2 linked regions of the Oryzias latipes genome follow. The main gene of each other region encodes a partner of the protein of the gene in region 2 in a complex. Links are inferred from orthologs where the notes say so. Each region holds a gene or a part of one and is shown on either strand. Other genes may lie near its edges.

Region 1 (4,282 bases), on a different chromosome or scaffold from region 2:
ATGCCATTTCCGTTCATGTGCGAGTCAAAGTGGGTGAGCCAATACTTTCTCGATATAGTGTGAGTTTAAGAATGTGCTATAGGGTGCACCTTATGATCTGGTGCCCCCGTTTAGTGCGGGAAATATAGTACATTTTTGCTTCTTCTTCCAAGCTGGCATCTGGCTCAAAACTGCACCGCAAATGTTAGGTTGGGGTTGTGAGGGGCTGTAAGCTAGTGGGAGAGAGTGTAAACAAGAAGGATGACGGGGAGTGTGGTAGAGCTTACTCCATGCCAATGGCCCCACCCACAACTCAGAGGTCAATTTCTGATGAGCTTCTGCAGAAACTCTGTCTTGGTAAACGGCCCAGATTTTAGAGATTTTACTGGAAAAAAATCATAATCATAGTTTAAAGACCACTGCTTTAACATAGATCATAGGATGATTGGAGTGGGACTTTAAGCTGATGTCGGATGTAGAGAAAAAGACAAACACCGTTCGTCATTGCTTGCAAATAAATCTCTTTTCATTTAAAGAATATTATTATTTACAACACAGTAAAAATCCTCACAATTCTGTCGCCAAAACACTGCAGTTTCAGAGTCTTTTATTGGGAACAAAAGAACCAATGAGAACTCTTTGCTGCCTGCTGATTATTTATGGCAAATCCCCCCCCCCCTTTTGTGTTTTGACTTCTCCTTTTTCTTTTCTTTTTTTCTGGAATCTCACTGCTGCTCGTCCTTGTTGATGATGTTCTTGAAGAGCGTCACCAGTGGTTTCTGGCGATCCTCCTCCCAGCTCTTCATGAAGCCGCCATAGCGTTTACTGGCGGGAGGGCCGCTCCAGCGGAAATGCTTCATCTTGTAGGAGCCATCCTTCTTCTCCTGCAGGCCAGCCAGGAGATGCTGACGCTCCTCCTCCTCCTCCACCTCCTCCATAGCCCTCTCCTCCTCCTCCGCTGCAGCCGCCAGCAGCTCATTGGCCAACTCCCGCCTCCTCATCTCACCTGGGAAAACCTCAGAGGACTCCTCCTCCACTCCGTTTGGGGTGTAGACCTTGACGGGGCGACGTTTGCGCCCGACGGGCTTGCCCCATCGGAAGTGCTCCATGGAGTAGGAGCGTTTGGTTTGAGGGGATGGAGAGATGAAAGAGAAGGGATCTGAGGGAGGTGGAGGCTGGAGGTGGGAGCTGCCTGGGATGAGGGGGGTCTCGGCGGTGAGGTCAGAGCGGCAGAGCTGGAGGCACTCCTGGAGTAAAAAGATGAGATTGACAGTCAACTGAAGGTGTTAAAACAGCAGATGTGTTTTTGTAATGGGAGATGTGGATGTTGAGTTTAAAGTGCTTATCACATTTTCCTAAAGAAAAACCTATTTTTGGGTCAAAATTTGCACTTTATTTTACAGATTCTCAAACCCCTTAAATCTGAATTATTGGTAAATGTAGGAAGAATTAACCAACAGAGAAGTCGAGTCAAAAAATTCTGTTTTGACTCCATTTGAAGCAACAAAACAGCTGAACTGTGGATGAAAATGATCAGGAAATGCAGATTCTGCTTATTGTTGCTTTGACCGTCTTCTGTACCGTCATGCTGCTCTCAGAGTCCAGCTCCTGGCAGCTGGAGTGCTTCCAGCATTGGCCGACTGCTCCTTCAGCCCCACCGACAACCACCACGGCCACCAGCAACCAAACGGTATACATCCTCTGTGAAGCAAAAAAAAAACACAATCCCACTCAGTTTTGGAGTTTTAAAATCAATTTTTATGTAGATTAGTTATCTTTTGGGGTTAATTTTTTTTTCAATTATACTCTTCTTTTATTGTTTACATTTCATTTTTTAAGTAAAAACCACAGGTTTTGGAAGTAATTTGACAAGAAAAAAAACACATCTTTGTTTTTAATATATGTTAAAAAAACAGTGGTGGCCACAAATCTGACTGAATAAAAACAAAATCAAAACATTGATATATTATTTTAGCACCTTGTTTTGGCACCGGTTATATCATTTTTTTAACCTTTTTTTTATTTATTCAATCACAAAGGTTACACGTTGTCACAAAAATTAAGAAAAGTATATCTAAAATCAAATATTTAAACTTTTTAAAAGACCTAAAACAAGCATGTTAAGAAATTTACATTTCACCATTTTACCTTAATAATATTATTAGATGATGCAAAATTATTGTATTAATATATGTATTTTGGAGATCAGATTGGAGAATTAACAAATAAAAATAAAATATTTATTTAAGTTTCATATATTAAGCACTTTGTTTTCTTAACCTCGAATATTTAACACTGGTCTTAATTTTTTTTTTAAAATCTGCTCTGATTTAGAAACTGTTAGTTAAAAATTATTAGTAATTTAGTAATTAAGTGAAGTAAAAAGGCTGTAAAACTTTAAAAATACAACTTTTTTTTACATTTTCATTATAAAGTACAATAAAATATTCTCACCCCTCCTTATAGTTTCTTTGTCTCTCCTCTTCCTCTTATTGCTGCTGCTTTCTGTTTTGTTTAGCCGCCGGATGAAGATTTCCCTTGATCCTCTTCTGCTCTGATGCTTCGAGCAGAGTTGGACTTTTATATTCTGCTGACCAAGGACGCACACACATGCGTGAACACACACACGCATACACAGATGACGTGTGCATGGGTTTGCGGTCAAAAACGCACACAAAAAATCAATAAAAAATGTCCCAGATCCACCCTCGTCCATTCACTGCACACACACGGATACAAGCACACACACATGAAGACCTGCCTTCATTTTTTTTTTCTATTTTGTTTTCTCGATTTTTAGACAAAACAAATGTTTTCAGAATTTATGTTTGTCTTTAACATCACAGATTTTTTGGTCACTTTTAATTGTAAAAAGCACAAATGGAACAGAAAACAAACACATCTAAGCTACAGCAGCTAAAACTCATCAGTTTAAATCTGCGTGAAAGCGCCTCGCCGCTGCTGTTGTCTGTGAAATGTCAGGCAGCAGCTTCTGCAGCTTAACACCCAGGTGGGATTTCGTCAAAGTCGCGGGTCAGGGTGTACAGTCACACACCCACAAAGCTGCGCTGAGCGGCATCTCTTTGTCCAGGGTCCGGGTGGCCCTAATGCTGAATCAGTGGAGAGTTCATCTGATTTCATGGAGCAGCTGATGAAGAGCAGCCACATTTTCCATCCAGGACACGCTTCCCACAGCTCCTTATAATCAGTGAAAAACATGTAGATGCATGGCTGCTCCCCTTCTGTTAATAAAACAGATCATCTCCAAACAGCTTGATGTTCCTGTTACTTAAGCTTATTAAATATACTGTGAGTTTAAGGTCAGCAGCACTGTAGCCAACGTCCATGGACATGGCTGCAGAAGGATATTTTTATTTAATCTTCATTCAACTGAGAAAGTCACATTTAGATAAATTTTGTAAAGTGGTCCTGAATGTTTGAAAAAATATTGAAAAGATGGATCAATCTCTGGGCACTCCAGACTCCAAACACATGCTTTATAGATTGATTGGTTACTCTAAAGTGTCCCTAGGTCTCTAGGTGTGTGAGTGTGAGTGCGACAGACAGGCACCCTGTCCAAGGTGTACCCCGCCTTCATCCAACAGTACCTGAGACAGTTTCCAGCAACGCTGTGACCCCAAAAGGAATGAGGCAGGTTGAGGAAATGGTTGGATGGATGGATGATCATCTTTGGATCTATTATAAAAGCGTTCCCTGTGGTCTTTCAATTAAAATGATGGTGTTTTTAGGCAAAATCTAAAAATCTGTCATTTTTAAGACATCGATTATGCAGAGCAGCAAGAGTTTATTAGAAATTCACTCCTCCCCGCCCGCCCCTTTTAGATTTGTTGATTTTATTGTCAGAAGATTCCTAATCCCAGGACAGGACAAATAAAAAAAAAGAAAGAAATAAAAAAAAGAAAGCAGGTGGAGAACCATCTAGAGAGGTCAGCTGCAGCATCTGTGTGTAAATGACAGGAACTCAAGAGGTGGAGAAGGTGGAGGGCTTTAAAGACTTAGGAACAACAGTTAGAGCAACTTCCGTTGAGGAAAGGCTAAAGAGGCGTGTGCAAGCAGGGTGGAACTATTGAAGGGGAAGGTTTCAGATATGATGTGTGAGAAAACAGGGTCAGCAAGCGTGAAAGGAAATGCTGGGGTGAAAGCAGCCATGCTCTCACCTCAGGGGTTGCAGGGGTGCCCCAATCCAGGACTCAAGGGCCGGTGTCCTACATGTTTTCCAATCAACCTGCCATTGAACCTTATTGGCTAAACCCACCTGCCCCAGGTAATAGATAAAGCCAGT
Region 2 (3,822 bases):
AAGCTGTTTTTACACATGCACTGACAGTTGGTTATTACTTAGATATGGCTATTATTCACTATTTGAGTATTAAATAGATTTTAAGAGAGATTTCTTTTTTTTTTCTATAAAAATTTTCACTTCTGAGAAGATCTGCCTTGTATTCTGACTGCTTGTGCAGACCTGTGCTTTTCAGAAACAGAGTATTTTAAACATAAAGACACACAAAGCTGTGGTCTCGGTTCCACAGTGCGGGTGGGCTCGTGCTTACGGCTTTTGGCTGTAGCAGCCATGAACATGACCGGCAGACCGATGGCGGAGGACAGAATCCAGTTGCAGATGTTGACAATCTTGGCATTGCGAGGCGTCCTGAAGTCCAGCGCTTTCACAGGGTGGCAAACAGCGATGTAGCGGTCGATGCTCATGGTTGTGAGGGTGAAGATGGAGGTGAACATGTTGTAGTAGTCGATGGACATCACCATCTTGCAGAGCAGGTCCCCAAATGGCCAAGACCCCATCAGGTAGTTGACGCTCTGGAACGGCAGGGTGCTGGTGACCAAGGCATCTGCCAGAGCGAGGTTGAAGATGTAGATGTTTGTGGCTGTCTTCATTTTGGTGTACCTGTAGCAGAGAGCAGCATAGAATTTTTATAGACAGCAGAGCTTAAAAAGGCTGTTTTGGGCTCAGTTATACATTTAATCACCTTTTTCATTTAAGTTTCTTCAAAAAAGTATATAAAAACAGAATGTATATCGACCAATCACCGTGTCCCTGTAACTGAGTTGTAACAACAAGACCAATGATTGGCTGGTCGAAATGCATCTTGGGTATGCGTGATCCATGAAGGAATTTATCGCTTTTGCGGCCGAACGGAGAGCATATCGGTGTTTATGAATGACTTATGATGTGAATAATTATTGTATTTGCACGGATTAATTATTTCGAGGGAACGGAATATTATCTTGTGGAACGGAATATTATTTCGTGCAAACAAGATATTAATCTGTGGGAACGAGATATATTTTAATTTTTTAATGTCAGGACACGGGCTCCATTATACTTATATTTATATATATATATATATATATATATATATATATATATATATATATATATATATATAAATATATAAAATGCTTTTTGCACATTATAGACCTAAATGACAAAGAAAACAAGCAGTTTAAAAAAAAAAAAAAAAAAACTTGTGATCTTTTGGGGCTCAGTAGAGGTTGGAACGCTAGATTTAGTCCGTTTGTGGTTCAGCGAGGGAACACATATCCCATTTGTTGAACATACTGAGCAAATTCTGTTAAACTTTTCAGTTTCACCATTTCTGTATCTAAATTCAGATGTTACCGTCACCTGATCAACACCTCAGAAAAAACACACACACCATAACATGTTTCACCTTTGTATTTTCTGATAAACACCAGTGTTATGATGCTTTCCTGTGATTGTGGTAAAAGGCTTTTTTATACCACAATCACAGTTACGGTAACGCTTTATGATAAGAGTCCTTAATAAACTATTAACAAGCACTAGTAATGTTTTAGTAAGCTGCTTATAAGAACATTAATTAGCATTTGTAAATGTCTTACAACTGACTTACAAGTTTAAATAAGCTGTTTATAAATACATTAAAATATTCCTTAATAAACTACTTATAAGACATTAAGCAGTATGAGTAATGTGGTATTAGGCTGCTTATAAAGACATTTATTAGCATTTGTTAATCTTATTCACAAGCTATTTATAAATTGCTTGTATGGGATTAATAAATATATTAACAGTGTTCTTATTAACAGTTTATTGAGTGTTTTGCAGCCCCCCCCAATCTAAAGCGTAACCAAATATGGGGGGGGGGGTCTTTACAAGCCATTTATAAATTGCTATAAATAAATGTACCCAGCTAAAATGTTTATTCAAAATAGATTTAGATTAAACATTGACCAGTTAAATCAGGCAATATAAAATATCTAGGTATTTATTTTTCCCCCAAAATATCAGAACTGGTACTGCTAAACTACACCCCATTACTGAAAAACAAACAGGACGATCTAACACGCTGGACCAACCTGCCTTTGTCCCTTATGGGCAAGGTAGCCACGGTTAAAATGAAAATCTTACCCAAAGTTAATTATCTCTTCTCAATGATTCCCACACAACCGCCACTAAAATGGTTCAAAACATTAGACTCATCCATATCAAGCTTTCTATGGAACAATAAACCTGCAAGAATTAGTTTAAAAACTTTAAAATCTGCAAAAAGCTGTGGAGGATTAGAATTACCTAACTTCCACAATTACTTTCTTGCAAATAGATTACAATACATCTTAAAATGGTTAAAAAATAATCCAGAAACCAACTCATGGTTAGACTTGGAACAGGCGTTATGTGGAAAGATCAACCTGTCAGATCTTCCATTTATTAGTCAAATAGTTAAAAAACAGGATTGTTTCAAAAGTATTAATATAAATGCCACTTTAACAGCCTGGTGGGAATTTCTCAAAATATCAAAATCATCAATTCAACCGTGCAAAATGACACCCATCTGGAACAACCCAGACATCCTCATAAACAAAAAAATTATCCACTTCCCAGCTTGGCAAGCAGGGGGCATAAAACAACTAGAGCACATAATTATTGATAGAAGATTCATAACTCCCCAGGAACTTCAAGACAAACATGGAATATATAACTTCTTGGAATATCAGCAACTTAAATCAATTATTACTAAAAAGTTTAAATACAGAGACAACGATTTAAAGCTACCAGATGTAGTTACCACTCTGATCAATTTCTCAATGAATAAAACTCTCTCCAAAATATACAAACTTTTATGTAATTTAGATAACAATATTTCACTTCCGACAACAAAATGGGATGCGGATTTGAGCATCAGCACAGATGAAAGTTTTTGGTCAGAACTTTGTCTAAACACCTTTAAAATGACAAAAAATCCAAATCTGCAGCTAATCCATTTCAAAACTCTTCACAGAATTTACTACACTGGACAGAGGATGTTCAAGATGTGTCTCAGTAACTCAGACATTTGTCAGCACTGTGACAGTAATCTACCCGACAATTACATGCATGCACTATGGTTCTGCACGCCTGTCCAGGCTCTCTGGCAGCAGGTATGTGCCGATCTATCAGTCTGGCTTAAGGTTTCAATCACAGCTTCACCGTCACTTTGTGTGCTTGGTGACATGAGTGCCATCGATGTAGAAGGAGGATTAGGCTCTATCATTTTCATAACTCTTTGCATTGCTAAAAAAACTATTTTAATAAATTGGAAAAGCAAAAAAAATATAAATATAAGTCAACACAGAAATCTGCTGCTTGATCATATCAGCTTGGAAAAAATGTCAGCCCAAAGTTCAAGTAACTTGGAAAGAATTCGGTCTCTCTGGTCTCCCATAGCTAACTCCGTGACTTAGGGGGTGGGGGGGGCATGGTCGTCGCTGCTCCTTGCCCTTCTGCCGTGGGCCGGGGTGGGGGTCGGGGCCTCCGGTGCCTGGCCGGGGGTGGTGGGGGCTCCGTTGGTCGGGGGGTCGGGTCCGGCGCCTGGGTGGGGCGGCCTGGGGCGCTGCGTGGTCCTCTGGGCTTGGGTGTGGGGGTGCGTGGTGGGGGGGTGGGGTGGTGGTCTGGCTTGGCTTGGGGGGGTGGTCCCTTTGCCTGTGCTGGGGGGGGTTGGCGGGGGGCGCTGCTCGGGGGGGGGGCCCAGCGGCGCTGGATGGGCTTCCCGTCTACACCTGGGGCTGGGATCGGCCCTTCCCTGGCTCTGGGGCGGGACGGGACAACCCTCTTGGGGCCCCCGGTAGCTCTGGGTGTCATCCGCTT

The links.
Region 1: the proteins of delta-type opioid receptor (region 2) and pomc are in contact, whole or in part, in a cryo-EM structure (PDB 8F7Q), measured with the Homo sapiens proteins. The link is inferred for Oryzias latipes from reciprocal best matches to the Homo sapiens genes OPRM1 and POMC. Residues at the interface, in NP_000905.3 of Homo sapiens: Ser66, Met67, Ala70, Ile71, Met74, Gln126, Asn129, Tyr130, Leu131, Met132, Gly133, Trp135, Val145, Ile146, Asp149, Tyr150, Met153, Arg213, Ile217, Asp218, Cys219, Thr220, Glu231, Lys235, Val238, Ile298, Val302, Lys305, Trp320, Ile324; in NP_000930.1 of Homo sapiens: Tyr237, Gly238, Gly239, Phe240, Met241, Thr242, Ser243, Glu244, Lys245, Thr248, Pro249, Leu250, Val251, Leu253.

Annotation. Positions count from the first base shown.
Region 1 is NC_019860.2:10,968,032-10,972,313, reverse strand, and holds pomc (pro-opiomelanocortin), read right to left. Parts: upstream 2,555-4,282; 5' UTR 2,434-2,554; intron 1,681-2,433; 5' UTR 1,678-1,680; coding exon 1,561-1,677; intron 1,227-1,560; coding exon 705-1,226; 3' UTR 570-704; downstream 1-569.
Region 2 is NC_019873.2:17,195,398-17,199,219, reverse strand, and holds part of delta-type opioid receptor, read right to left. Parts: intron 601-3,822; coding exon 251-600; intron 1-250. UniProt on the Homo sapiens protein: Receptor for endogenous opioids such as beta-endorphin and endomorphin. Receptor for natural and synthetic opioids including morphine, heroin, DAMGO, fentanyl, etorphine, buprenorphin and methadone.